Mus musculus: one gene and its partners. The main gene of each other region encodes a partner of the protein of the gene in region 6 in a complex. Links are inferred from orthologs where the notes say so. Each region holds a gene or a part of one and is shown on either strand. Other genes may lie near its edges. The genes, in order: Actb, Pbrm1, Dpf3, Smarcd3, Smarcd2, Smarcc1 and Arid1b.

The links.
Region 1: Smarcc1 (region 6) and Actb share a complex: the UniProt entries of both Homo sapiens proteins name them as parts of the BAF complex. The link is inferred for Mus musculus from reciprocal best matches to the Homo sapiens genes SMARCC1 and ACTB.
Region 2: Smarcc1 (region 6) and Pbrm1 share a complex: the UniProt entries of both Homo sapiens proteins name them as parts of the SWI/SNF-B (PBAF) chromatin remodeling complex. The link is inferred for Mus musculus from reciprocal best matches to the Homo sapiens genes SMARCC1 and PBRM1.
Region 3: Smarcc1 (region 6) and Dpf3 share a complex: the UniProt entries of both Homo sapiens proteins name them as parts of the BAF complex. The link is inferred for Mus musculus from reciprocal best matches to the Homo sapiens genes SMARCC1 and DPF3.
Region 4: Smarcc1 (region 6) and Smarcd3 share a complex: the UniProt entries of both Homo sapiens proteins name them as parts of the BAF complex. The link is inferred for Mus musculus from reciprocal best matches to the Homo sapiens genes SMARCC1 and SMARCD3.
Region 5: Smarcc1 (region 6) and Smarcd2 share a complex: the UniProt entries of both Homo sapiens proteins name them as parts of the BAF complex. The link is inferred for Mus musculus from reciprocal best matches to the Homo sapiens genes SMARCC1 and SMARCD2.
Region 7: Smarcc1 (region 6) and Arid1b share a complex: the UniProt entries of both Homo sapiens proteins name them as parts of the neuron-specific chromatin remodeling complex. The link is inferred for Mus musculus from reciprocal best matches to the Homo sapiens genes SMARCC1 and ARID1B.

The regions. Positions count from the first base shown.
Region 1 is NC_000071.6:142,903,955-142,908,181, forward strand, and holds the start of Actb (actin, cytoplasmic 1), read right to left. Parts: upstream 2,801-4,227; 5' UTR 2,698-2,800; intron 1,739-2,697; 5' UTR 1,733-1,738; coding exon 1,610-1,732; intron 1,523-1,609; coding exon 1,283-1,522; intron 829-1,282; coding exon 390-828; intron 295-389; coding exon 113-294; intron 1-112. UniProt on the Homo sapiens protein: Actin is a highly conserved protein that polymerizes to produce filaments that form cross-linked networks in the cytoplasm of cells.
Region 2 is NC_000080.6:31,067,638-31,071,137, reverse strand, and holds part of Pbrm1 (protein polybromo-1), read right to left. Parts: coding exon 3,174-3,500; intron 1-3,173. UniProt on the Homo sapiens protein: Involved in transcriptional activation and repression of select genes by chromatin remodeling (alteration of DNA-nucleosome topology). Required for the stability of the SWI/SNF chromatin remodeling complex SWI/SNF-B (PBAF).
Region 3 is NC_000078.6:83,484,937-83,489,143, forward strand, and holds the start of Dpf3 (zinc finger protein DPF3), read right to left. Parts: upstream 2,801-4,207; 5' UTR 2,773-2,800; coding exon 2,741-2,772; intron 1-2,740. UniProt on the Homo sapiens protein: Belongs to the neuron-specific chromatin remodeling complex (nBAF complex).
Region 4 is NC_000071.6:24,599,203-24,603,414, forward strand, and holds the start of Smarcd3 (SWI/SNF-related matrix-associated actin-dependent regulator of chromatin subfamily D member 3), read right to left. Parts: upstream 2,801-4,212; 5' UTR 2,657-2,800; coding exon 2,579-2,656; intron 2,563-2,578; exon of another isoform or gene 1,934-2,562; intron 1-1,933. UniProt on the Homo sapiens protein: Involved in transcriptional activation and repression of select genes by chromatin remodeling (alteration of DNA-nucleosome topology).
Region 5 is NC_000077.6:106,266,473-106,269,972, reverse strand, and holds part of Smarcd2 (SWI/SNF-related matrix-associated actin-dependent regulator of chromatin subfamily D member 2), read left to right. Parts: intron 1-2,340; exon of another isoform or gene 2,341-2,379; coding exon of another isoform or gene 2,380-2,454; coding exon 2,455-2,639; intron 2,640-2,792; coding exon 2,793-2,835; intron 2,836-2,959; coding exon 2,960-3,082; intron 3,083-3,280; coding exon 3,281-3,436; intron 3,437-3,500. UniProt on the Homo sapiens protein: Involved in transcriptional activation and repression of select genes by chromatin remodeling (alteration of DNA-nucleosome topology).
Region 6 is NC_000075.6:110,233,024-110,236,523, forward strand, and holds part of Smarcc1 (SWI/SNF complex subunit SMARCC1), read left to right. Parts: intron 1-1,853; coding exon 1,854-2,030; intron 2,031-3,500. UniProt on the Homo sapiens protein: Involved in transcriptional activation and repression of select genes by chromatin remodeling (alteration of DNA-nucleosome topology).
Region 7 is NC_000083.6:4,993,788-4,997,894, forward strand, and holds the start of Arid1b (AT-rich interactive domain-containing protein 1B), read left to right. Parts: upstream 1-1,307; coding exon 1,308-2,705; intron 2,706-3,137; exon of another isoform or gene 3,138-4,107. UniProt on the Homo sapiens protein: Involved in transcriptional activation and repression of select genes by chromatin remodeling (alteration of DNA-nucleosome topology).

The DNA of each region.
Region 1 (4,227 bases), on a different chromosome or scaffold from region 6:
GACAAGATGGTGAATGGTGAGCTCTCTGGGTGCTGGGATTCCCCTTAAACCTAGAAGGTTGCTCTGACAACCACAGGGCCCACCCTCACCAAGCTAAGGATGCTTAGCTTACCTTGATCTTCATGGTGCTAGGAGCCAGAGCAGTAATCTCCTTCTGCATCCTGTCAGCAATGCCTGGGTACATGGTGGTACCACCAGACAGCACTGTGTTGGCATAGAGGTCTTTACGGATGTCAACGTCACACTTCATGATGGAATTGAATGTAGTTTCATGGATGCCACAGGATTCCATACCTAAGAGAAGAGTGACAGAAATCAGACTTAACTTGTACTATGGCCTCAGGAGTTTTGTCACCTTTAGATGGAGAAAGGACTAGGCTACAACTTACCCAAGAAGGAAGGCTGGAAAAGAGCCTCAGGGCATCGGAACCGCTCGTTGCCAATAGTGATGACCTGGCCGTCAGGCAGCTCATAGCTCTTCTCCAGGGAGGAAGAGGATGCGGCAGTGGCCATCTCCTGCTCGAAGTCTAGAGCAACATAGCACAGCTTCTCTTTGATGTCACGCACGATTTCCCTCTCAGCTGTGGTGGTGAAGCTGTAGCCACGCTCGGTCAGGATCTTCATGAGGTAGTCTGTCAGGTCCCGGCCAGCCAGGTCCAGACGCAGGATGGCGTGAGGGAGAGCATAGCCCTCGTAGATGGGCACAGTGTGGGTGACCCCGTCTCCGGAGTCCATCACAATGCCTGTGGTACGACCAGAGGCATACAGGGACAGCACAGCCTGGATGGCTACGTACATGGCTGGGGTGTTGAAGGTCTCAAACATGATCTGTAGAGAAAAATAAATAATGTTGTCAAGTTCAGAAAGCCACAAGAAACACTCAGGGCAGGTGAAACTGTATGGATAGATCTGAGACATGCAAGGAGTGCAAGAACACAGCTAAGTTCAGTGTGCTGGGAGTCTCAGGACAGGGGCTCCACTTAGACCTACTGTGCATCTACTCAATACACACTCCAAGGCCACTTATCACCAGCCTCATTAGCTTTGTCACACGAGCCATTGTTAGTACCTAAACCCACAGCACTGTAGGGTTTAAACACCTAGTCAGAAAGGCAATTGAGAGAAAAAAAGACCTCGTCTGGGAAAGAGCAGAAACTGCAAAGATCCAAGGGAGACTCAGCTCATAGAAGGGAGTCCTATGGGAGAACGGCAGAAGAAAGACAATTGAGAAAGGGCGTGGCTGAGAAGCTGGCCAAAGAGAAGGGTTACCCGGGATACTGACCTGGGTCATCTTTTCACGGTTGGCCTTAGGGTTCAGGGGGGCCTCGGTGAGCAGCACAGGGTGCTCCTCAGGGGCCACACGCAGCTCATTGTAGAAGGTGTGGTGCCAGATCTTCTCCATGTCGTCCCAGTTGGTAACAATGCCATGTTCAATGGGGTACTTCAGGGTCAGGATACCTCTCTTGCTCTGGGCCTCGTCACCCACATAGGAGTCCTTCTGACCCATTCCCACCATCACACCCTGTGGAAGGGAACAGCCTTCTTAGCACCGGCATCGATCCCCAAGAAAACCCCAGGCTTGCCACTCCCAAAGTAACAGGTCACTTACCTGGTGCCTAGGGCGGCCCACGATGGAGGGGAATACAGCCCGGGGAGCATCGTCGCCCGCGAAGCCGGCTTTGCACATGCCGGAGCCGTTGTCGACGACCAGCGCAGCGATATCGTCATCCATGGCGAACTATCAAGACACAAAAGAAGGCTATAGTCACCTCGGGGCCGCCAAGAGCAGCCGCTGCCGCCCTGCCCACTTCCGGCAAGCCGCGGGCTCGAGCCGCCAGGGGGCGCGCGCCCAAGCTCAGGGGACAAAGGAAGCGCAGACCGGCCGCATTATTACCATAAAAGGCAAACGCTGGCCCGGAGGCGGACCTAGGGCAGGAAGCCAGACCTCCGCCCCCTCCCCAAACGGGCGCAAGCTCCGCCTACACTGCGCCGACGGGCGGCTTGTGCGCGCGCGGGAGGCGACCACACCCAGCAGGAAGCGCAAACAAGGCGCCCGTGCCACTGTGACCCCGCCCCTTCCGGACAACGGCCCCGCCCTCGCCCAACCCCGGGCAGCCGCGCTCCCAGCCTCAATACGCACGCGCAGCTAACTAGGAAGAGGGGGAGAGGAAGAGCTCCCTCCCTAGCGCACACGCGCCTCGATGCCCAGTGATAGAGAGCGCACGCGCAGTGGCATCCCAGCCCCCACCCGGCCGAGCCGGCCCTGCCGCGCCCGCCCGCCCGCCCGCCCGCCCGGCAAGCCGAATAGGCAAACCGGTTTGGACAAAGACCCAGAGGCCATTGAGGCGTGATCGTAGCGTCTGGTTCCCAATACTGTGTACTCTCAAGATGGACCTAATACGGCTTTTAACACCCGCAAGCCGCACCGGCTCATCAAATGCCCACACCGCGACCCTAGTGTGTCCCCAAGCCCCACGCACCGAGCGGGAGCGGGCCCACGAGTGTCTACACCGCGGGAATGTGGCTGCAAAGAGTCTACACGCTAGGCGTAAAGTTGGCTGTGCCAGTGTCCGCTCCGCGGCCCGGCACCACCCTCCACCCGCCCATGGTGTCCGTTCTGAGTGATCCTCAGGACCCTGCAGTGAGGTACTAGCCACGAGAGAGCGAAGGCCCGCTGGGCCCGGCGTCCCTGCTTACCTGGTGGCGGGTGTGGACCGGCAACGAAGGAGCTGCAAAGAAGCTGTGCTCGCGGGTGGACGCGACTCGACAGTGGCTGCGCGTTGCGCCGCCGGGTTTTATAGGACGCCACAGCGGCCACTCGAGCCATAAAAGGCAACTTTCGGAACGGCGGGCGCTGATTGGCTCCGCGTCGCTCACTCACCGGCCTCGCCGCACAGTGCAGCATTTTTTTACCCCCTCTCCCCTCCTTTTGAAAAAAAAAAAAAAAAAGAAGAAGAAAAAAAAAAAAAGCGAGAGAGAAAGCGAGATTGAGGAAGAGGATGAAGAGTTTTGGCGATGGGTGCTGGCTCCGTAGGCCCAGATGTACAGGAATAGCCTCCGCCCTTGTGGACACTGCCCCATTCAATGTCTCGGTTACTAGGCCTGCATTCTGGGGGTCACCCAACCACCCCAGGACCCTCTGGGTGTGGATGTCACGTGGATATCGAGCACTTAAGTGGATGAGGGTCAGCATCGAGGCCCGGACCCTATTTGTGTGGCCTCTTGTTTGAGGGACACGCGGGGCCTGGATTGAATGGACAGAGAGTCACTCCCCCTTGCTAGCAATTGCTAGCAATAGCCGGAAAGCCAGATCCGGGGGGGCCCCTTCTGCTGTGGTTCTAATTTGCTAGGTGTGTTGGGGTTCAACTTGGAAGCAGAACTCTGGTTGGAGAGGTTTTCATGGATCTTGACCTCTTAGAGACTCAAGGCCATCCTATCCCAAGCATAGGGCGAGCCCCAGTGGTCCAATAACTGGAGGTGTTGCAAGAAGATGCCTCCAGATATCCCCTGCCCCGGATCTAGAAAGGAACTGTGCTCAATAGAACAAACAAAACTTCTCATGGAGTCAGGCACTTTTGGAGAACTGCCTGATCACACCCAGGCAAGACTAAGCCTGGGCCGTTAGCTAGTGTCTCTGGGTGACTGCCAGACATCGCTGGGCTGGGGCCCACCATCTATCCTCTATTTATTATGTGCAGCCACAGCTGAGTTGTGCACTAGTCCATCTGCCAGCCGTGGGGATTCTGGGAGTGACAAGCTGCTCAGGGAAAAGTTGGTGGTCACCGGAGCCCCAAATCCTCCAGAGAGAAGCAGCCCCTGTCCCCCTCACCTAAGTACCAGTGTTCTACTTAGCAAGCCAGCTATTTGGCTGAGAGCTACACACGGGGTCAGGGTTGAGGGCCGGATCCCTCAGCTTAGCTTAGAAGGACACGCACCTTCTGGGAGAGTGTGACAGAAAGCTGGATTTAGGCAAGAAGGGTGCTTCAGGTGAGATGCTCTGGGCCTGCCGTGCCTCAGTGCATGCATAGGTAGGTGTTCACTGGCTCACAAAGTGTAGGTGTTGAAACCAAAGAAGGCTTCATCCATATATGGACTACAGTGGCCAGCTTCCTTGTTCTTGGCTGGTGGCAGGGCATTTTGAAGTTGCTGAGGCCTTGTCTGGAAGAGGTGACCATCACCCCAGCATATGCTGTGAACTGGAAACACACCCCTAGTTATCTTTCCCAC
Region 2 (3,500 bases), on a different chromosome or scaffold from region 6:
GAGATCAGAGGTCAAGGTCAGGTGTCTCCTACTTCCTATTCTATTTCCTGAGACAGGGTCTTGTACTGACTGGCTTGACTGGTTCCTGGGGTCTTCCGTTGTCAACACTCAGCTACCTCCATCTCGAGCACTGCAGCTACAAGCCTGTCCAGCATGCTTGGCTTTTATATGGGTGCCAGGGATCTAAACTCAGGTCTTGCATGGCAAGAACTTTACACACTAAACATCTAGCTCTTTTTATTGATTCTTATGCCACAAGAAGTCCCAATACTATTTTCATTTACAAAAATTAAAATGGCTTTTGTTATCTTTCTTAAACATTTAAAAAATTGAGGTTTATGGGTGTTTTCCCTGTACATATATCTTTGTATCACTTACATGCCTAGTGCCTATGGAGGCCAGAAGAGGGTGTCAGGTGCCGTCAGAATGGAGTTACAGATGGGGAGGAACCAGCATGTGAGTGCTGGTGTACACAGACCTCTGGGAAGAGTAACTAGCCCTCTTAATTGCTGAGCCATGCTCCAGGCCCCTGTTCCGTTTCTCAACAGAACTCAGGGCATGAGATAAACTATAAGGATTTCTGTTTCTATATGTGTCATGGGTTGTATCTTCCAGCCCTCAAAAGCAAAAGCCTATCATATCAATAATGGGAGAATAAAAAGATCTTATTTCGTAAAAAAATCAATCTGTGTACTTCTTAACAGAGTTCCCCATAATCTATGAGACATGTGCTCTTTAGAAGATTCACTGGACTCAAGCAACTGTGAACCACAGGAGTGGCATTTACATTTCATTATTATTATTATTATTATTTTTGGTTTTTCGAGACAGGGTTTCTCTTTATAGCCCTGGCTGTCCTCGAACTCAGGAATCTGCCTGCCTCTGCCTCCCGAGTGCTGGGATTAAAGGCGTGTGCCACCACCGCCCAGCTTAAATTTCATTATTAAAGTACTGCTACATCCCATGAACTAGAGCATGTTCATCAACTAGTATCAACACCCAACAAAAATTTCTTGAATGAAACCTCGTATAGAATTTGACTGTAAGATGCCTCCACTCTCCTCTTTATTTCTATCCCTAGTTCTTCACAAGGAACCATTTCCTAAACATGCTAATCAAGGATCCACCTCAAACTCTGAAACACAGCATATTTACACCCTAACCTTTCCCTTTCTTTTGTGGTTTTTTTTTTTTTTTTTGTGACAGGGTTTCTCTGTGTAGCCCTGGCTGTCCTAGAACTTACTCTGTAGACCAGGCTGGCCTTGAACTCAGAAATTTGCCTGCCAAGTGCTGGGATTGGAGGCATGCGCCACCACGCCTGGCTCACTTTCTTTATACCATTTATCATATGCAGAGTATCAGCCTCTCTATTCATCTTCCAACTCTTTTATGATACTTTGTGCCTTTTTAGGTAAACTCTGGCCCACAAAGTTTCTTACATGATCATGTTGAAAGTGATCATGTTGGGTTTTAATAGGCTACTTCACATTTCCTTAAGTATCAGTCTAACCATGAGATTTCAAGCTCTTTAATATAGAGCTCAACAATGCTTATCATTCATGTCTGTGTTCCATAACTGGTAACTATCAGCAGCAGTGCTCTCAGTGGGAAACAAGCCAAGGCATATCACCTACTAGATGTTAGATTATGAATTTTATTGCTTGCACATCTCCAATTCTTCAAATAAAAACTGAAAAGATTATCAGTCCCATAGACAAGTACAGATGACTTAGAGATGATCTTCACGAAGGGCTTTACCATGATATTTTACAAAAGTTGTCACTAGGAAAAGCAATCATTAATATTTACTTTTCCTTCACGGTCTAGAGCAAAGATCTCCTAGATGCAATTAAACAGTCTAAAGTTCTAGCTCTCAGTACTTCAGAAGAGGGCAGGATTTACTATCTGTAAGTTCAATTTAACCAAGTGCCTGTAAGAGCATATAGAACTTATACTGCGATTGCTGGATTACACTGGGTATTCTTCCAGTAAGTGCCAAAGATACGCAGGCTAAAAAGCTGAAGGAATTTTAGTAAATTAAATTTATTCTTTTAAACCATTTATAGTCCTACACTATGCTCTTAAATTGATAAATGAGATAAAAAAACAAAAGGCCTTATTAAGTAACTGAAATAGAGATTGAGGGGGCTGAGAAGGAGCACTGGTGTTCTTCCAGAGGACCCAGGTTCAATTTACTGCACCCACATGGTGGGTAACAACCATCTGTAACTCTAGTCCCAAAGAAACTAACTCCCTTTTCTGGCCACTGTGGGCACTGGATATATGTGCTGCATAGACATACATACAGGCACACCATCTCAGTACACATAAAATAAAAATAAGCAAGTTTTTAAAAAAGTGAATGGATTTAGACCAGTCTATCCTCAAAGAATAACTCCAAGCTCTCTAATTCATTTAAAACATTCTTAAGACTAATTTTCAAAGAAAAAAAAAATCCTACTTTTAGTTTTATTACAGACTGTATTATTGATCCTTTAAAAGACATCTTCTGCGAAAGGCTGCATTTTAGGTTTCTGCATTATGCAAGAGCTTCAGTCCTGCCCCTCTCACCGGCACTTATGATGACAACTCAGTAGTGCTCTTTACAAGTTTGTTGTTGTTGTTGTTTGTTTTTTGTAGACAGTTTCTCTGTGTGGTCTTGGCTGTCCTGGAACTTGCTCTGTAGACCAGGCTGTCCTTGAACTCAAGAGATCTATCTGCCTCTGCCTCCTGAATGATGGGGTTAAAGGTGACCACCGTTCAACTCCCTCTTTATAAGTTTTGACCCCTCCAACACTGTAAAAGGGGTGGGGGGAGCATATGTTTTGCCTACCAAGAATTCAGGATAGAAGGCTATCTACAGGCTGGTGAGATAGCTCAGAAGGTAAGAGCACTGACTGCTCTTTTAAAGGTCCTGAGATCAAATCCCAGCAACAACATGGTGGTTCACAACCATCTGTAATGAGATCTGACGCCCTCTTCTGGTGTGTCTGAAGACAGCAACAGTGTACTTATGTATAATAATAAATAAATATTTTGAAGAAAAAAAAGAGGAAGGCTACCTACTATAACCATGTACCTAAGCAGAAAGTTTATCAAAGCATAACTCTCTCATCTGTTTTGCATTAAAAATCACATGTATTTATCATAAAGAGATGGGTTTGAAAACATACCGGTTCATCCTTCTTGCCCGTTCCAATACTTCAAACATATGCTCCTGAAATAAATCAAGTCGCCGATACCGATTACTTTCAACATTTTTCCTGATAATGTCAAATGTAAGGGGAGGTTTATTGGGAGAGTTGGGATCCACAGCAGGAATTTCTGCTAAGGAGTCGCTGTAACACCTCCCTTCGTCATCCTGATGACTCATGACTGACACAAAAAGGTTATGGATGAGCTCTTGAATCAGCAACGTCACATTAGGGACATGAGAATCCTCATCTCCCTCCAGGTCTCTCCGAGTCTCAAGGAGGACTTTATGCAGTACAAGGGCATCT
Region 3 (4,207 bases), on a different chromosome or scaffold from region 6:
TAAGGCATAGCCCTACACAGGGTGGCATGAAAGAAACCCGAGCTGGCTTCTTCCCAACACCGTAACTACTGCTGCTTATCCCCAGGCCCAAGAGGAAATCTTTGTGTGACCAGTTTCTTCTGTAGGGGGCGTCCGTGATGTTGCCTTTTTAAGACGAGAAAGACTGCTTGCACCCGGAGAAAATGCTAATGCAGTTTGGAGCTCCGGTTCATTGTCAGGAGGGGCACACAAGGATAAACACATAAGCTCTCCAAGCCATTCTCCTCACTCCTCCTCCTCCCTGCCCCCCCCCCATCCATCCCTTCAGCTTGCTGGGTTGCTATGCTTTGTTCTAATTTGGCCCATGCATAATTTATTCACGTGTGTTTTGTTTCCTGATCAGCAACTTCTAGAAACAAATGGCATGTATAAGATGTTTTATTAAACAAGTTGTTTTTATAATAATAATAATAAAGCAGATGGCCTCAGTCTCCCGGTAACGATGTGTGTGCTCCTGCGTGCGGAGTTTTTAAAATGTCCAGGGTGCAAATAGCTTGACCGATTGGGGTTATTATTTACACCCTTAGCCCTCAGGGGAAGAGGACTGGATGCAAAAGGGGGCGGCTAATTATAAGTGACCATTCGACTTCCTCTGAGGAAAGGCAGACAGGGGTGTTGTGTGAGCGTCCGCGTGCGTGAGCCAAGACGGAGTTACAAATGCATCCCACGGCAAGTATTTCCAATTATTAAGGGATACAAGTGTAAATCTGAACTAGTTCTATTAACTGATTGGCCACCTTCTAGCTTCTCTGTTCCTTCTCCCCCACAATTTCTTATACATGCACTCTTCTGTGGAAAAAAAAAAAAAAAGTGGAAAGATCTGGGGGACCCAGGAGTGTGGAGCTCCTGCGCGCGCCCGAGCGTAAGCCCGCTCCCGGGCATCAAGGATGCCGCTTTGCCAATGAAGAACCCTGTACACATAGCAAATAGATCTCTCCGACTTGAGTTTACCAAGCAGCATCAGCTCGGCTACGTGATTTCGGCTGGAAATGAGGAAATTGCAAATCAGCTGTGTGTGGGTTCTGGAGAAACTCCCAGCCCCAGCGGTGTGGCGGCGGGAGTCGGCGAGGAGCGGGGAAGTTACGCCCATTTCTTCTGCCATAAAACAATTTCTCTCTTCGGTGAGACGCTGTCGCGAGTGCAAAGTAGCTGAGCTTCCGAACGAGAACGGGAGCCAGGAACTCGCATCAAGCTCAGCCTCCGTCTTTACAGCAATATCTCATGGAAACTCCAAGATCTGGGACATCCCTGCCCTATTCCTGGTTGTTGGCTGGTGCAAACGCAGCGGGTTCTCCCTACGGGTTTCTTGGCACTAGGAATCCCACGCACACTCTCTCGCCGCCGCCCTGCTGCTCCCCAAAGCGAACGGTGTTTTCGACTCCCATAGCCAGGGACGCTGTAGCGCGCAGCTAAAAGAGCCAAGATCGACCACTGACACACACCGGGAAGAATTGGCACTAAACACCCACGCTCACCCTCCGACTCCCACTGGCTTTCATCAGGGCGGGGAAGTCCTAGTACACCGGGCACCCACTGGGTGCCCACGCCGCGCCGCGATTCCCAAGGATCCACCCTCTGCCAACATGCCTGCCAATAGCGCCCCTTGAGAGCCACACTAGTTTTCCGAGGCCACCCCCGGCTCCGCGATCACCCGCGGACTTGCGGCTTCATATTCAGTCCACCGACTGGAAGAAGGAAGGAAGGAAGGAAGGAAGGAAGGAAGGAAGGAAGGAAGGAAGACCGGCGGGCAGGCAGCTCCGATCGGGAACCGGCCCCCGCGAGTCCTTGCGCAGCCCGCCCCCCTGTGTCCGCTCAAAGTCTCCGGGAGGCACCTGCCCCTCGCTGTCGCCAGAGCCCTCCACCGCCGCCTCCACCGCCTCGGCTTTTCACCCAGAGCAGGCAAGCACACCATTTATAAGACCTGCAGTTTCCCTGCCTCCATATCAACCCCAAGTTAACCCGGATCGTTAATTTACTAGAGCCAGTTAGCCTACAAATACACAGACACACCGGCGACCGCCCGGAGCGCCTGCCTGATCCCCGGCTGCCGGAGTGGAAAAGCCCGGGGCAAGCACCTGGGCCCCAGGACTCCCGGGACCCGCCGCTCCGCGCGCTGTCCTCCCAACTCCGGAAGGTTTACACAAACTCCCTGCGAGAGCTCGGAAGGCAGAGCGAACGCCCTGCAAAACTCCGCAGCCGCTGCGGTCCGTCTGCCCGCCTGGGTGGACGAGCAGCGGGGCCGGGAAGGTTCGGGCTTGGAGTGCAGGGCTCAGCCGAGCGCACGACGCGGTCTCTGCCCCGCGCTCCGGCCAGGCTCAGCCAACCCCGCGCTCTGGCCAGCCTCAGCCAGCTCCGCGCGGCGCCGGGAGAGGCAGGGGACTCCGAGAACCGTGAAGACCCGGGCTGCTCACGACCCCCGCAGCTCCTGAGCCGGCGCCGCCGCTCTGTGTTCCCTCCCGGTCCCGGTCAGCCAATTAAGCAGAACACAAATGTAACAATTTTCTTTTTGTTAATTGCATCTCCTGACATTTCTGCGCGCTGGGAGGAAAAAAAAAGATGAAGAAGTAAGAGCAGGAAGAAAAGAGGAGCCCGGGCGCAGCGGGAGGTGTCTGCGAGAGCCGGGCGCCGGCTGCGCTCCACAAGGCGCCTTTTTTTCATATTGAAACCACGCGGAATATGTACATTTTTTAGTCTTACTTACGCTTTCAGGGGGTTGTGAATGACAGTCGCCATTTTGCTACAATGTAACAGAATATTGTCTGTCTCAGAGTTCTAAAGGTTCGCTCAGGGGAAGCGGCAGGCCAATCAGAGCACGGGATACCGGCCTACCGGCCAATCGGCGCGGCTGGTCGCCAAGTGGGCGGGGCCTGCGTGGTGGTAGTTATTAGGGGAGCTGTCAAAGCCCAGAGGTCACTCCCTTTTGTAGAGCCCGAGAGCGAGCAGGTCTTAAAGGGGCAGTACCGTGTTAGTAGCGCCCTTTTAGATTGGAACTCGTGGAGACAACATGGGAGAGCATTCTCGCTTAGTTGGAGTCCCTACTTTGCTAAATAACTGCAGAGTTTGCGCTCCTGGACAAGAATATTTACATAGTGCCAACAAAACCACTTAACCCCATTCATTAGCTCTGGGCTTTGTAAATCACGGTTTTTAACCCCCGAGCTCCTTGTACACCACCGTGTTGCAGTGCAAAAAGTTGGAAGGCTGCAGTTTCCTCCAAGAAATTACTACTCGTGTTCCACTGTTTGCTAATAATGTTCTGGGTTCCGCGGCTGTTCAATATTCTTGTTCCCGAAGTGTTTTCTTGATCTCAGCCACCTTCCCCGGGCGGTTTCTGAGAACTGGAGAGTCCAGGACAGCAACTCCCTTCCTCCTGGAATGTCTCAGTGTCAGGCTTGCGGACAGCCACGGCTTTTGTTACGTAATTCACGGGTGGTCACTCCGCGCGGTCCCCTACGACCACCGTTCTCCACTGTCAACGATTCACACTGATCTGACATGGCCAGCTTGGGAGCGAAGTGAGACCTGGCGCTTTTTAGGCAGAAGGTTGGGGAAATTTTGAGGCAACTTTAGGAAACGCAGCTAGGGAAGTCAGTAACTATGCAAAAATTGTTAGAGCCTGAGGTAGGTGTTGCCTGAGTCCCCTCTGGGAACGGCTCTGAGAATTCAGGCGTCACCTTTCTGGACTAAGATAGGAGGTGAAAAGAATTTGCAAGTGAATGTTCAGACGTGACTCCTGGCTTCCCCAGTATGCGGCTGCTCAGAATCTGATAAACCCCAGAAGAAACTGAGAGACTTCTGCGAACTCAGACTTCCACGGAGCACAGGGAGACTCGGAGTGGGCGAAAACTCATGAAATCACTTAGAGGGCACAGGCATCGTTAGCTTATAGAAGCCGGGCTATGGCCCCCTTGGCTGTTTAATCAGGTCAAATAGCTGGGGGCTGGGAAGTGAAAAGGAAACCGAGAGATGCTGAATTGCAGTTCACAATTCCACCTGCTCTCGCCTTTTACGACTCTCGATGAATAAAGTAAAATACAATTACAAAGCAGTCCAGAACTTTCAGATTCCAGCTCCATTCACTATTAGAGTTACAGATAAGCCCAGCAAAGCTGAGTGAGTCTGTGCGTGCAGACTGGAAATATTTAACTCTTTGTTTGCCTAGTAGGGT
Region 4 (4,212 bases), on a different chromosome or scaffold from region 6:
TCAAAGAAAACAGCGACCTCACCAAGGTCACCCTGCTCTTCCTGGCAAAGGCAGCACCTGGCGGGCCCTGCTCCCCGCTGCTTCGCTGCGGTGAGGGAGGGGCTGATCTCCTGCCCTCATTCTCCATTTCCACACCCCACTTCTGGGTCTGATGTGTTTTGTACTTGAGCCCCTATCTCCATTTCGGAGCCCCCTGCTTTTGGCACCTCAATCTCAAACATAACTGGTACAGCTAACTCCAGGTCTCCACACCCACTGACTTAACCTGCCTCTTTAATTTTATTTCTCCCAAGATGATACAAGAGACTGGGCAAGGGGACCTGCGGGTCTGGTGTCATCAAACTCTGCCAGGTTTTCTTGAGTGGCAAGTGGGGAACGGGACTAGAAGTGGACTGCCAGTGCAGGGATGTGAAGGAAGCAGCATCTGTAGCAGTATCCATTTCCCCCTCCCATCTGCCCACATCAGAGACAACCTATTCCTCACAATATCCCAGAAAGGGTAGAAATTGGAGGGAAATGAGGCAGGTTGATTTTCTCTGGCCACCAGCTCTGGGCAGTCAATCAAAAGAGATGAGATGTGAATGCAAGTGGAGTGTTTCAGATTTCACTTGTCCAAGCCCAGGAAGGGGGCTGAGGCTTGGGGACCTAGACCAGGAAGGGTATTAGGGAGAGGGGAATGAAACCCCTATTATTTAAACACTACCATCTCAGGCTAGGGATGTAGCTTGGTTAAGGGCTTGTGCAATACATGTGGTGCTCTGGGTTCGATCCCCAGCATCAAATAAACTGCACATGATAGCACATACTTTTTTTTTTTTTTTTTTTTTTGAGACAGGGTTTCTCTGTGTAGCCCTGGCTGTCCTGGAACTCACTCTGTAGACCAGGCTGGCCTTGAACTCAGAAATCCACCTGCCTCTGCCTCCCGAGTGCTGGGATTAAAGGCGTGCGCCACCACCGCCTGGCATGATAGCACATACTTATAATCCTAATCTTGAGGTGAAGGCAGAAAATCAAGACCACCCTCTGATATATAGTGAATTTGAGGCCAGCCTGGGCTACAGAAGGCCATGCACACACACACCCTTCTCATCTTGCCCCCTGGATTAAGAAGCCCTAACCCTAACCCTGGGCTTCCTTTCTCCTCTTACATTGCTTACCTCTGAGGTCTCCACCCAGAGCCAAGCAGCTGTCTCTGCCCATCTCTTCTATAGTCAAACAGGCCTGTCCCTGAACTTGCCTCCCCCATTCCACCTGACTCTGTCACTCACAGCACCAATGTCACCAGCGTGGAAGCTCAAGCCTAGCCATTCTCCATCACTATAGAGGGGACTCTAATCATCCAAGAACCGAACTACCAAGTTGACCACATTCAATTCCATATGCAGAGCCTCTTCACTGGATGGTAGTCTTTAAAGCAACTACTCTTAAGCAGCTAGGTCAGGATTGGTAACTCCACTAACCCATAGGGCTGCCTTGGAATTTATACCCCAGAGATCCCTATGGCTAGAGAACAGGCTGCCACAGAGAAGCCCTCTTCCCTATCAGCCACTCTCCTATTCATCAAGGCCACTGATACTGTTGGGTCTAATGAGGCCCTGAGAAGAAGGCTTCTAGGGGCCCCCAGGAGCCTGCCATCAGTAACAGCCTCATAAGGGTCAGATTCTGGGGGCCCTTGCCTCTCACTGAAATGGTGCTTCCTGGAGTCACAACCAAATTTGGCCATAGTAAATATGACTGACTCTTCCCTCCATATGCCCAGGCTTAGAGCTCCTCACAGCAGGCTCTCCACCTCAATAGGTTCCTGGGTACCCTCAGACTCCTCACATGTCTTCGTGAGTGTGTGAGTGTGTGTGTGTGTGTGTGTTAGAACGGTATAGTACTATCCCTTTGGTTTCTAGGCCTCATGTCCCCAACTCCTGCCCCTCCTTCACACCTTTGAGGTGTTAAGGTCATCAACTTCTGGTGGCTGAGCCTGCCAAGGAGATCTTCTGACTGCTTAACTTGAGGTCTCACAAGTAGACCCTTCTCAGCTCTGACAGCAGGGCCAAGTCCTCAAGGCCCTCCTGCTAGGATGCAGAGGTTGTTCAGCAGAGAGCTTTTGCTCTTAGGTCACCTGCTCCTAGCTGCTCAGACCTAGTCGGAGTGACCCTGTCCCAAAGGATGAACAGGGACAACAGGCAGCCCTGCCCTAGCTGTGTGTTCGAGTCACCACCCCACCCCCACCCCCAGGGCAGGGGTAACACCTGAGCCCACCAGTAAAAGAATGTGAGACATGTCAGTTACAGAGGGGACCCCCCTCTTGGGGGAGGCACGGTGCCCACATCCCACCCCTTGCCCCTGAGAAGAACCCAAGCCGACGCCTCTCTTCCCGGCCGCCGCGCGCCCATCCCCAGCCGACCGCTTGGCGACGTGTTCGGATGCCAGGGCGCCCGCAAGGTCCCAGGGTTGGGCCGTGACCGTGCGCCCCTCAACCAAAGGGGTGGGAGAGCCGGAGCGCGCCGGCGGCCCCTCCCGATCATCCCTCCATTCAGCCCGAGCCAGCTCGCTCACCCTCCCCCGCTAACTTTCCCCCACTCACCACCCCATGGACCAGAAACTCAAAAAGTTTGCTTTTCGTGGCTTTGCGCGCCCCTCCGGCAACTTCGTCCGCGGCCATCGGGGTGGGCTCAGCGGCTCCTCTCACTCTCTCTCTCTCTTCCTCTTTCTTTCCCTTTTCTGCCTTTTTTTTCCTCCAACTCTCCCCTCTGAGTCCTGCTGGGCTCTCTCACACTTCTACTCGAGCGGAGTGGGGAGGGGGCCCCTTCAGGGCTGCCCTGACGGCCCACGGCCCACGCCGCCGCCGCCGCCCGCCCGCCGCCGCCGCCGCCGCGGCTGCCGCATTCCTGCACTGATAAGACAGAAATAGTCCGGCGGCCCGGGGTCTGCCTGCGACGCGCCGGGGACGGAGCGGCCCTCCTGTGCACTCCGCGTGGTCCAAGCGGCGCACAGAAGCGGCGAGACGAGCCGATCTGCCCGGAGGCTGCGCGATGGGCAGCTGCGCTGCGCCCAGGCCGCCCGGGGCCCATCGGTGGCGGCTCGGGGAGGGAACACCACGGGAGGTGACAAGGGGCTCGCCAGCCACTCTGCCCTCGCCACAAATAGTTTCTCGGTTAGGGAATTCGCCGACATGGCCAGGCAGGGAACAGACAGTTCCAACTTTTTTCCCCCAAGTGGCTCCTGCAGCATTTCTGAGGCCCTTTCCCCTGGGACCAGGCAGGCCAAGTAGGGAAACATTTGCTGGAAGGAATCTGGGGGGGAACCCGAGCCCGAAGCAGGCCTTGCTCCTGTCCCAGGGCCAGCGCGGTGGGTGTGCCGGGCTAGGCGGGCTCCCGGGCGCCCGCAGATGTGTGTGCCCTTGTCTCGCACACCGTGTGTCTGCACCCTTTTGTGGCACGGCGCAGAGGCTGTGGGTGTGGATGTTTATGTGCGTGCACTGACAAACGCCCAGTCTGTGTGCTTCCCTTCACAAGAGCCGCCGAGCCTGCGCGCGTGCGTGCGGGGCAGGACACGGCCTGTGTCTTTCAGCTCTGTTGGAGTCTATTTCTGGGCTTGTGAGTCTTTGTTTGTCTCTGTGCGAGAAAGTGAGGGCAATAGGGGAAATATTTCCGAAAAGGGGACATGGACTGGACTCATGAGAACAGGAGGAGTACATTGTGAGGAATGGCGCGGATCCAGGGTGGGTACTTGGGTGGGTAGGAGGAAAGGGTGAGGCAAGCAGGGCTTGATGGCTTTGGCGCGGAGACCCAGAGAGCTCGGGATTGGTGAAGTCCGCCCCAGAACCGAAGAGAAAGCAGGAGTGTGGGGTAGGAAGACGAGGAAACCCTAAATGGGACAGTGTGGATAGAACTGGCCATCCCTGGAGGGGAGGAAGAACAGAAAGGAGGGGACAAATCCTGAGATCCCTAGGTTGAGCCCAAGCTCCGCCCATTCCACAAGCCACGCCTGTCCCCACCTTCTGAAGGAGGAGTCCGCGGGTTTCAGGACAATCAAGGGTCAGGTTTATGGGCTAGCTGGGGCTGCCGCTGAGAGAGGGACAATGCCTGAGGGAACTTGTGGGAACACATACAATTTGAGCCCTCAAGACCCATTGCACCGAGGGACCCTAACCTTTGGCCCTTCAGAATGTCTTCATGGGTCAGGATAAGGAGCAGAGGAATGCTCTCCCAGTCTATT
Region 5 (3,500 bases), on a different chromosome or scaffold from region 6:
TCTTAGGTTCAGGCAGCTATCAGAAGGACCAGGGCTACAGATTTGGAGGAGAGCAGAGCATGTTTTGTTTTGTTTTGTTTTGTTTGTTTGTTTTTTTTATTTTTTTGTTTTTTGTTTTTTTTTGTTTTTGGTTTTTCGAGACAGGGTTTCTCTGTATAGCCCTGGCTGTCCTGGAACTCACTTTGTAGACCAGGCTGGCCTCGAACTCAGAAATCCGCCTGCCTCTGCTCCCGAGTGCTGGGATTAAAGGCGTGTACCACCATGCCCGGCAGAGCATGCTTACTTGAGCCCTACATTTTTTTTCTTTAAAAAAAAAAAAGATTTATTTATTTATTTATTTATTTATTTATTTATTTATTTATTTAATGTATATGAGTATGCTAGCTGTAGATGGTTGTGAGCCATTATGTAGTTGCTGGAACCCTACATTCTTAACCCAGAGATGGCAGAATCAGGCCTAGCCTACTAACCTTGTCTTGGTGGTTATAAAATCAAGCCTAGAATGTGGGGTTGGTGCTTGACCAAGTGGAAGTTACTGTATTCTGGTGTCCTGGGGATGTAAGCAGGCCTGCCTACCCCCATGGTGGAGCAGGCTGGCAGAGAGGCTGAGAATCTGTGGCGGTTGACTTTGTTTTGTTTCTAAGTAGGAGTTACTAGCTCTTCAAAGCCCAGGTGTAGAGCTTGACAAAGAGGAAACTAGGACTTGAATTGTGAGCAGCCTTCCCCTGAGGCTGTGGGTGAGCTAGGGGCCTGGAGCCTGAGCCCCAGAAGTCTAGAGCAGATGTCTGGGTGGGGCCTATCCCAGGCCTGCCTGGGCTGCCTTGCCTCAGGATTTCCTGGAGGGCTCAGCCGTACTACAGGTTTTATGAACCCCAGTGGAGAGCTTTTTGGGGGGAGGGCAGAGCACCGCAGATTATATCTGCAGTTACTCTAGGAAAACCTCAAGTCTGGAGTGATGATGGGGGTCTCAGGTTGTGGCCACCTGAGGTTTTTCTTCTGTCCCCTCCCCCCTTCTATAATCTCTTGCTCTGGCTTATTAGGGCAGAGAAACAGGCTGTCTTCTGCCTTTCAGCAGCATTGATGAATTTCTTCCTGATGAGGAGAGGCTGTGGCAGGACTCCCAAGGTCCCAGGGTCTCCCACTTTTAACTCCTCAGTTGCCACTGTCATCCTGCTCTGCTTCTGTCCCCTTTCCCTTGTCTCTGGGTCATGCGTCTGACTCCTTAATGCTAGATAAAGAAATTACAGGGACTCATCTCCAGGATGCTTGGGTGTGGGGGCTGGGGGGGGGGGTGTCTTTTAACTCAGTGTGAATCTCCACCCAGGCTGGCCCGGTTGTCTGGTTGTACTGATTGATTGCATAACCTGGGCCCCGGGGCCAGCCCTGTGAAGCTGCCAGGGACTGTGTGTGCAAGGCAGAGCTGCCAAACAGGCCTTTCAGGCAGCAGCTATGTGGATGAGCTGGGAGGTGGAGGGCTCCCAGGAAACGGCAGAAACCTGGGCCTTGGATGGGAAGTCAAGGCTGCTTGTGCCACCCAGACTGATGCTGCTGGTGACTCTGTATCCTTGCCTCCCAGGACCGTTGCATTCTGCGACTGGGGGTGGCACGGGTTAAGTTGAACCAGCAGCGGCCTGGCTGCCAGGTGGTGCAGAGACCATGGGCAGAGTCCAGATGTTTGCTGTTCCCATTCCCACAGGCCACCCAAGAACCATAATTTCTTTTTTTGAAAGTCTTTTGACATAGAGATAGGGGCATGGCAATAAGAAAGGAGGGGGAGGGTGGGGTGGGGGAGGGGACAATGGGTCCAGGTTGTGTTAGGGCCATAGGGACCATATGGTGACCAGATGGTGTCTGTACTCTCTTGAGGCCATCCCCACAAGTTGTGACATGGCCGAGCCATCCTATTGTACCTGCTCACCTGGGGTGCTGCGGCCTAATGGGCTTGCTATCCCTACTGCCTTTCTTCCCATCAGCCACCAGGCAGCAGACTTCACAGAGCCTCCTGGACTCCCCTGGGTTGCTATGCGTTGTCCTTGGTCTCCGGAGTAATGTTTTTCCTTCAGGATGGCGAAAGGAAGAAGGGGTCTCTAGTGGGCTATCTAAGGACTCTATAAATACCATGAAGCTGGCTGATCCCAGGGTGCAGGACATAGCATACTGGAGCTGGAAAGGTGTTGATTAGTACTAAAAAGTCCCTCAGGCCCTTCCTTCTGCAAGAGGTACACTCCTCCCCCTCCCACCCATGGACTCTGGCTGCCTCATTTGTTGGCAAGGCTGCCAGGGCGGTTGCAGGGGCGGGGCAGGTGTAGTTTACACGCTGGGCTCAGGCGCCTGTTCCCCTTTGTTCCTGGTCTCCCCATTTGAGAGAGAGAGAGAGAGATGGAGGGTATGGGCTATGGACCTCGGAGGGCTCCGCCACTGACCTGTGTCCCTCCACTGTTCCACTTTCCTCAGCGTCCTGGCATGTCACCAGGAAGCAGGATGCCCATGGCTGGCTTGCAGGTGGGACCTCCTGCCGGTTCCCCATTTGGCACAGCTGCTCCGCTCCGACCTGGCATGCCACCTACCATGATGGATCCATTCCGAAAACGCCTGCTTGTGCCTCAGGCCCAGCCCCCGATGCCTGCCCAGCGCCGAGGGTAAGCCTATTTCTCATACCTTGCCTATCTTGTCTTGGGTGTTAAGTTTCTCTATCTTGACCACAAGGAGGCTCTTGGCCATTTGGGAGAGGGTTTTGAAGATCGTGAGTTTGGACTGTTAACCTCTTAAATGGGTTTCTGTTTTCCTACTAGGTTAAAGAGGAGGAAGATGGCAGATAAGGTTCTACCTCAGCGAGTGAGTGTGTTGGGAGGCCTGCCCAGGTCTGGCTGGCCAGGGTGGGAGTCCTGGAGTGGAGAAGGAGGGGAGGATGGTAGAACTAGAGCTGGTAAAACAAGCCATCGGATTTCTCAACCTGCAGATCCGGGAGCTTGTCCCAGAGTCTCAGGCATACATGGATCTTTTAGCTTTCGAGAGGAAGCTGGACCAGACCATCGCTCGCAAGCGGATGGAGATTCAAGAGGCCATCAAGAAGCCTCTGACGGTATATACTACCCCAAGTTCTCCCAAACTGTTTTCCTTCCTGGACTTGTTCTCTAGGGATGAGCTTGGGCTTGAGCAGTACTCACACAGGGAGCTGTCCACCAGTAGAGCGCACACTCACTTTAGCGTGCTTTGAAATGGTGTCTTGCTACATATGGCTACTCACTCAGTCCTCCTGCCTCTTGTTCTTCCTTTTCAGCAAAAGCGAAAACTTCGGATCTATATTTCCAATACATTCAGCCCCAGCAAGGCGGATGGAGATAATGCGGGAACTGCGGGGACCCCTGGGGGAACCCCGGCAGCAGACAAGGTGGCCTCCTGGGAGCTTCGAGTAGAGGGGAAACTGCTGGATGATGTGAGTTGGAAGGGGAGAAGGCCTGTGTGAACTTAGACTGAGAACAGATGTGAGCGTTCTTTCA
Region 6 (3,500 bases):
GATAAAGGGAGGTCGTGGTTACTCTTCTATACTTTGCCTGTTGGGTGGTCTCTCTTTTTTTTTTTTTTTTTTTGGTTTTTCCTGAGACAGGGTTTCTCTGTGTAGCCCTGGCTGTCCTGGCACTCACTCTGTAGACCAGGCTGGCCTCAAACTCAGAAATCCGCCTGCCTCTGCCTCCCGAGTGCTGGGATTAAAGGCGTTGCTACCACACCTGGCTGGGTGTTGTTCTCTTACCTCTTGGCTAAGTCTATGGATTCAGCAGACCTTACTTGAGAGTTGGTGTGAAACTGAACATGATAAATGATCCTATACAGTTTTTGTGTTCTATCATTACCTCATGATGGCTCTGTCTTTGTGACGATGAAGCTCATAGGCTCAGAAGAGTCCTCTTTCTAAGGCTCTGTCACAGCCATGCTTGATAGAAGAGTCAGCATGAAGATGGGTAAGGACTTTGTTACTCTAAAGCTGGTTTCCCTTTATCATGTGACCAGAAATGTTCCTCTCCTAGCTAGAGTTCTGTACTTTTGAGTCCAAACGTGAGCTTTCTACTTACATCTGTAACTGTTTGCATACTACAACAGCAAGTTGAATGCATGTAATGTCACTCAGTAGCAGAATCTAAGTACTTGCTGAGTCTTCAAAGACAAATATATCGGTGTGTAAGTAAATCAGACATTATTTGTTCTGTCTCCCATCATTAATGTAAGGACACTGAGAAGAGATGGAATTGTCTGTCATTTATCTTATTCTCCTACCTCAGCCCAACCCCATGTGTGGTTTTACCAGGCCAGTGCTTCATGGACTCCCTCAGGGATCCTCCAGGTCAGAGAAAGGCAGACCTTTGAAAGTCCTTTCTGATGTCTGGCCTGTGCCAGGCATTGGATGTGATGTGATATGTGATAAGCCACTGCTCATTTAGAGTAACCATAGTGAATCTGTTCTTTGCCTGATGCTTTCTCAGAACTGCTCCCATTTGTGCTTGTTTAACCAGCTTGCTTGCTTGCTTTTTGAGATGGACTCATGTATTTTAGATTGGTGTCAGACCCATTCTGTCTAGCCAGTGGTGACTTTGAAATCTTACTTCTACCTCCCAGATTCTAGGGTTCCAAGTATCCTAGGGTTCTAAGTATCCTAGGGTTCTAAGTATCCTAGGGTTCTAAGTATCCTAGGGTTCTAACCACAGCACTATTTGTGTGGTACTGGGGACTGATCTCACAACCTCTTGCCTTGAGGAAATATCTTTTACTTTTTTTTAAAGATTTATTTATTTATTTATTTATTATATGTGAGTACACTGTTGATATCTTCAGACACACCAGAAGAGGGCATCAGATCCCATTACAGATGGCTGTGAGACACCCTGTGGATGCTGGGAATTGAACTCAGGACCTCTAGAAGAGCAGTCAGCGCTCTTAACCGCTGAGCCATCTCTCCAGCCCAAGGGAAGCATTCTTACCAGTCGTAATTCATGATCTAGTTGAGCCATGGCCTCAGCCCTGTAATTCATTCTCAATAGTAACTACCTTTCCTATACTAAAGTTGAGAAGTCAGTCAGTGATCTTTCCTCAGTTAAGTGTTTCTTCTACAAAAAAATGAATAAAAGGCTGATCATCAGCCAGTGAGAAGGTGAGGGTGCTTGCCTCAAGTCTGGCTGTCCAAGTTCAGTCCTCAAAGCTCACACACTACCAGTTTTCCTCTAGCCTCCATACTTGTACCATGGTGTGTTTGTGCCCATACATCCACATGCTAAATAAGTCTTTATTTGTCTATGTTCTACAGTCTTGGACATTGAGTTGGTGCCTACCCACCCCCAGTGCATGAATACTTACAGTGCTTTAAATCTCTTTCCACAGGTCAAATACCAGGCCCTGGCTCCATGATGCCTGGCCAGCCCATGCCAGGTCGCATGATCCCCGCTGTGGCAGCCAACATTCACCCTACTGGGAGTGGCCCTACCCCTCCTGGTATGCCTCCAATGCCCGGAAACATCTTAGGACCCCGGGTACCCCTCACAGCACCAAACGGCATGTGTAAGTAGCACAGTGGGACGACATTACCCAGCATCCTGCTTTGGAAGCTACAGATAAGGAAGAAATGCTTTCTTCGTGAGATTAGCAAGCCCATAGACAGTCTAGCCTGCAACAGTGAGGTGTGGGAGATAACGTTTTGGTGTGAACACTCAGGTTGTGTACTCAGTACTGAGATCTGTGGGGAAGCCACTGATTCTGTCACTCATGATTAAACCTGACTAGTTTGAATCTCATCTGACATGCATAGTTCCTGGCTGTTCTTTCCCCTACAAGAACTTTTATGCTGTGGAATTAAAGGTGGTAAGTAGGGAAAAAGTGAAGTTCAACCAGACCTAGTCCAATTAAAGGGTACACTCCTTTAACCCCAGTGCTCAGGAGCAGAGGCGCTTGCCAGGCCGTCCTAGTGTACATATGGAGCTCCAGGTCAGCCGAGGCTACATAGTAAGAATCTTTAGGAGGGGGAGGGGGAGAGGAAAGAGAAAGAGAAAAGAAAGAAAAAATTGGTATAAAGACGGGAGTCAGCTCTTGTAGCTGTTCTTGATACTTAGGTAGTTCCTGCATTGACTTGAAATGAGGTGGTTTAGGAACTGCAGAGGAAGAATACCAGGTAAAGAGGTGCTGGCCACGGTCAGTAGCATCCCTCTGAGCTTGTGTTCGGAGCTCAGGTCATTTCCCCCTAAGCCTTACCTCTACCCCTACCCCAGCCCGAGCCCTGACCTCCACAGAGTTACATGAGAGGCTGTGATCTCCAGCTGGGTAGACATGCTCAGTGAGAAGGATCCAGCCATAAGCTGATTTCTTAAGAAGATCCTGTATGTGGCCAGAAATTAGCTCCTAGTCACAAAACAATAAATAACCAGAATCCTCTGCCTGCTGGGCTGAGATGACTCACAGCACTCAGGAGGCAGAGGCAGGCAGATCTCTGAGTTTGAGGCCAGCCAGTGCTACACAGAGAATCTCTGTCTCAGAAGAGAAAAAGAAAAAAGAAGAAAAAAAAACATAATCCTTGACTGCCTTCATGAGCTTTAATTAGGAGAATGGGTGAATGAAAAACCGTTGATAGGACTGTTCATCTCTTATTGATGAAATGTAACCAATAGCCTTAAGCACGGCTACTATGACTTCCTGCTATAATGGACTGAGTTCTAGAACAATGATCCAAAATACACTCACAAGTTGTCTTTTAACTTTAACACACGCTCTCGCACCAGCAAGCCATGTGCGTTTGCGCGCGCGCATGCGCGCGCACGCACACACACACACACACACACACACACACACACACACACACACACAAGCAACAGCTACAACAGGGAACTTCAAAATCCTTGGAATGCACTGTAATAGTCCAGGAGACTTCTTGCAGGGAAGGTGGCTTCATGCAGAGACGCATCTGAATCCCAGAGGCTGAGACAAAGTCCATACACAGAAGAATGTCTTACATTAACTGAATTTATAGAATCTGGCCCA
Region 7 (4,107 bases), on a different chromosome or scaffold from region 6:
GCTGCTTAACCTTCACTTAAGTCTTTCATAATTTCTCAGTTGGATGAAGTTGTGGGAATTAAGCCGATGGCCTGAAATTCAGGCGCAGAGGCCAAGGTTGTGAAAAATTACATAACTCCTGAGAGAGACCGAGTGCTTTTGCCCGGCCTGCCTGAGTGTTTCTCTTCTCCACCGGCTCCTCGCCACCTCTGAGGCCCAACAGACAACTTTGCTTCCCAGCCCCTTCTCCCTCTTTTGTCTGCTCTTCAGACTCGTTTTCCACCTTCGTACCGCTCCCTTTAGACGTGAAAACAAACACAGGGCCGCGCGCGGGTTGGCAGGGAGACCGGAGGCACGAGGGGACCGAGCAGCTTCGGGCCCCGAGCGCCGGCAGCCGGTTCCCCCCCCCCTCCCCTCGCTCCCCCGGGCCGGGCCCTCCGCGCCAGGCCGGGCGAGACCAGCCGGGTGAGCGGGGCGAGCTGGCGGGCGAACGTGCGCTCAGCGGCGGCGCCCGGGGCCGAGTCCAGTCCGCGTTTTGCGAGTGCGCAGCAGCCCTCGGAGAGAAGCGGATAATAGTTGCTCCGGCTCGCTCGGCTCCCTCACGCCGCGCTGGGCCCGATTAGGCTCAGGCAAGTCGTGCATTTCCCCCCCCCCCCCATATCCGGGTTAGAGAGGGGGGAAAAAGAGAGAGAGAGAGAGCGAGCGAGAGTGAGGGAGGGAGAGAGAAAAGTTTCATTGCAAGCGGAACTAAAAAACTTTCCGCCCGTTCAGGCCGTAGCGGGCGCGAGCCCCCGAGCGCAAAGGCGCGCCCCCGGCGGGCGGCCCGGGGCTGCGGGGGGTGGGGTGGGGAGGGCACCGCGCTTCCCCGCGGGCCGCGTGGATGCGCGCAGGAGGGGCGGCCGGCTGCGAGTGGGGACATTGTCTCCCCCCACCCCGCCCGGCCGCGCCACGCCGCGGCGATCATGGCCGCGCGGGCAGCAGCGGCGGCGCGGGCGCGGGCGGGCAGCGGCGAGCGGCGGGCGCCCTCGGGGCCGCGGCCGGCGCCCGGGGCCCGGGACCTGGAGACGGGCGCGCGCGGCGCGGTGGCGGCTCCGGGCCCCATCCTGGGGGGCGGCGACGGCGGCCTGAATAATGTGCACCACCACCCCCTGCACCCCCGTCACGACCTGAACATGGCCCATAGCGCGAGCGCCGCGGCGGCCGCCAGCTCCAACAGCGCGCAGAGCGGCCGCTCCGAGGCGGCTCTCAAGGAGGGTGGAAGCGCCGCCGCGCTGTCCTCCTCCGCCGCCGTCGCGGCCTCTTCCTCCTCGGCGGGCCCCGGCTCGACCATGGAGACCGGGCTGCTCCCCAACCACAAACTGAAAGCCGTTGGCGAGGCCCCCGCTGCACCGCCCCATCAGCAGCACCACCACCACCATGCCCACCACCACCACCACCACCATGCCCACCACCTCCACCACCTCCACCACCACCACGCACTACAGCAGCAGCTAAACCAGTTCCAGCAGCCGCAGCCGCCGCAGCCACAGCAGCAGCAGCCGCCGCCACCGCCGCAGCAGCAGCATCCCACTGCCAACAACAGCCTGGGCGGTGCGGGCGGCGGCGCGCCTCAGCCCGGCCCGGACATGGAGCAGCCGCAACATGGAGGCGCCAAGGACAGTGTCGCGGGCAATCAGGCTGACCCGCAGGGCCAGCCTCTGCTGAGCAAACCGGGCGACGAGGACGACGCGCCGCCCAAGATGGGGGAGCCGGCGGGCAGCCGCTATGAGCACCCGGGCCTGGGCGCGCAGCAGCAGCCCGCGCCGGTCGCCGTGCCCGGGGGCGGCGGCGGCCCAGCGGCCGTCTCGGAGTTTAATAATTACTATGGCAGCGCTGCCCCTGCTAGCGGCGGCCCCGGCGGCCGCGCTGGGCCTTGCTTTGATCAACATGGCGGACAACAAAGCCCCGGGATGGGGATGATGCACTCCGCCTCTGCCGCCGCCGGGGCCCCCAGCAGCATGGACCCCCTGCAGAACTCCCACGAAGGGTACCCCAACAGCCAGTACAACCATTATCCGGGCTACAGCCGGCCCGGCGCGGGCGGCGGCGGCGGCGGCGGCGGAGGAGGAGGAGGCAGCGGAGGAGGTGGAGGAGGAGGAGGAGCAGGAGGAGCAGGAGGAGCAGCGGCAGCGGCAGCAGGAGCCGGAGCTGTGGCGGCGGCGGCCGCGGCGGCGGCGGCAGCAGCAGCAGCAGCAGGAGGAGGCGGTGGCGGCGGCTATGGGAGCTCGTCCTCGGGGTACGGGGTGCTGAGCTCCCCGCGGCAGCAGGGCGGCGGCATGATGATGGGCCCCGGGGGCGGCGGGGCCGCGAGCCTCAGCAAGGCGGCCGCCGGCGCGGCGGCGGCGGCGGGGGGCTTCCAGCGCTTCGCCGGCCAGAACCAGCACCCGTCGGGGGCTACACCGACCCTCAACCAGCTGCTCACCTCACCCAGCCCCATGATGAGGAGCTACGGCGGTAGCTACCCCGACTACAGCAGCTCCAGCGCGCCGCCGCCGCCGTCGCAGCCCCAGTCCCAGGCGGCGGCGGGGGCGGCGGCGGGTGGCCAGCAGGCGGCCGCGGGCATGGGCTTGGGCAAGGACCTAGGCGCCCAGTACGCCGCTGCCAGCCCGGCCTGGGCGGCCGCGCAACAAAGGAGTCACCCGGCGATGAGCCCCGGCACCCCCGGACCGACCATGGGCAGATCCCAGGTAACCCCCGCGCCCGGCCGGGCCTGCTTCCGCCCGGGCCTCGCGCCGCGAGCCCGACTTTCTTTCTTCGCCGGGTACTTTTCCCGGCGGTTGGCGGGGGTGGCGGGGGCGCGGCGCCGCCGGGCCGGGGCCGGAGCTGGCGGGGCTGGGGAGCCGGGGTGTCCCGCGCCCTTGCTGCGCGCTGCGCTCCCGTGCCAGGCCCGGGACGGGACCTCGGTGCCCCAGGCCGCGCCCGCCCGGGGAGGGCTCTCGGGGCAGCGGGCTCCGGGGCCCGGCTTGACTCCGCCGGCGCCCACGGTGTGCCCTGAGTGGGCGCGGGGAGAGAGGAACTTTCTCTCTTCGGGCCTCGGTCGGTTTCCCATTCCCCTTGCGAGGAGGAGGCAGGGGGAAAAAAAAAACCAAAAAAAAAAAAAAAAAAAAACCCAAAAACCGAGGTTAGCTTTGTGACAGCCGTGGCTGGTGGAGTTTGGATGTTTACCAGCAAGAATAAGACCCAGATTTACAACGGGCGGAGGCGAAATATTGTAAAATAACATCGATTCGTTCCTAAGAATAGCTGGGGAGAGATCCATTATGGGGCTAAGGGCTCCTTGGAAGGAGTCACCTTCAACCGGGAGGCGATGTTGAAGGAATAGATTCCGGATCGATGGAACTTATTTTGATCATGGGTTAGGTTTTCCTTTTTTATTCAGCAAACCTAGTAAGGTAGTAGGCCAGAGAAAATGGGTCGTTGTGGATCGTATTTGAGTGGATTTTCTTGATTTTGCTGTCTCCCAAGTCCAACAGCGTTGTTAGGAAGTGTCTTGCGCTCTGGCTGTTTCTTGCTAGTAGGCTGAGCCTAAAGACTGACTTGATCTCTCCTTTGCAAGGTTTGGAATTTGAATTGTGGAGGTAAACTGGCTGTAATAGTCTCCAGACAGCTGCCTCTGAGTTGACATCTAATCTGCCATCTGATTGGCTCCCCTCTCACCATTGGGCATTTAGCACTGCTGATGTAAATAGAAGTGCGGAGCAGTACAGTCACAAAAATTCCTGACACAAATAATAACTGAACTCTATTCCAAGCACATGGAAGATTGAATACTATTTAGAGCTTAAATTGTTATGAATCATAGTTAGTAATAAAGGATTGAATACAGAGAAACATGCTGTTGTCCAGTATTAGGCATTTATAAAACTTGGGTCTTCGATGACAAATCTTACAATATGAACATTACATTTATTGTGGGCTTTAATTGTGGACTGAAAATAGGAGCATTGGGAAATAATTAATGCAAAGATTGGACCAGTTTGGGCTTCGTCAAGCTTTTTTATAAAAGTCTGCTTTTTACAGATCTAATTGAATATATTTTAATCCTACCAGTTTACAGTTTAATGCATTAAGATTTCAGTATTCTGAAAT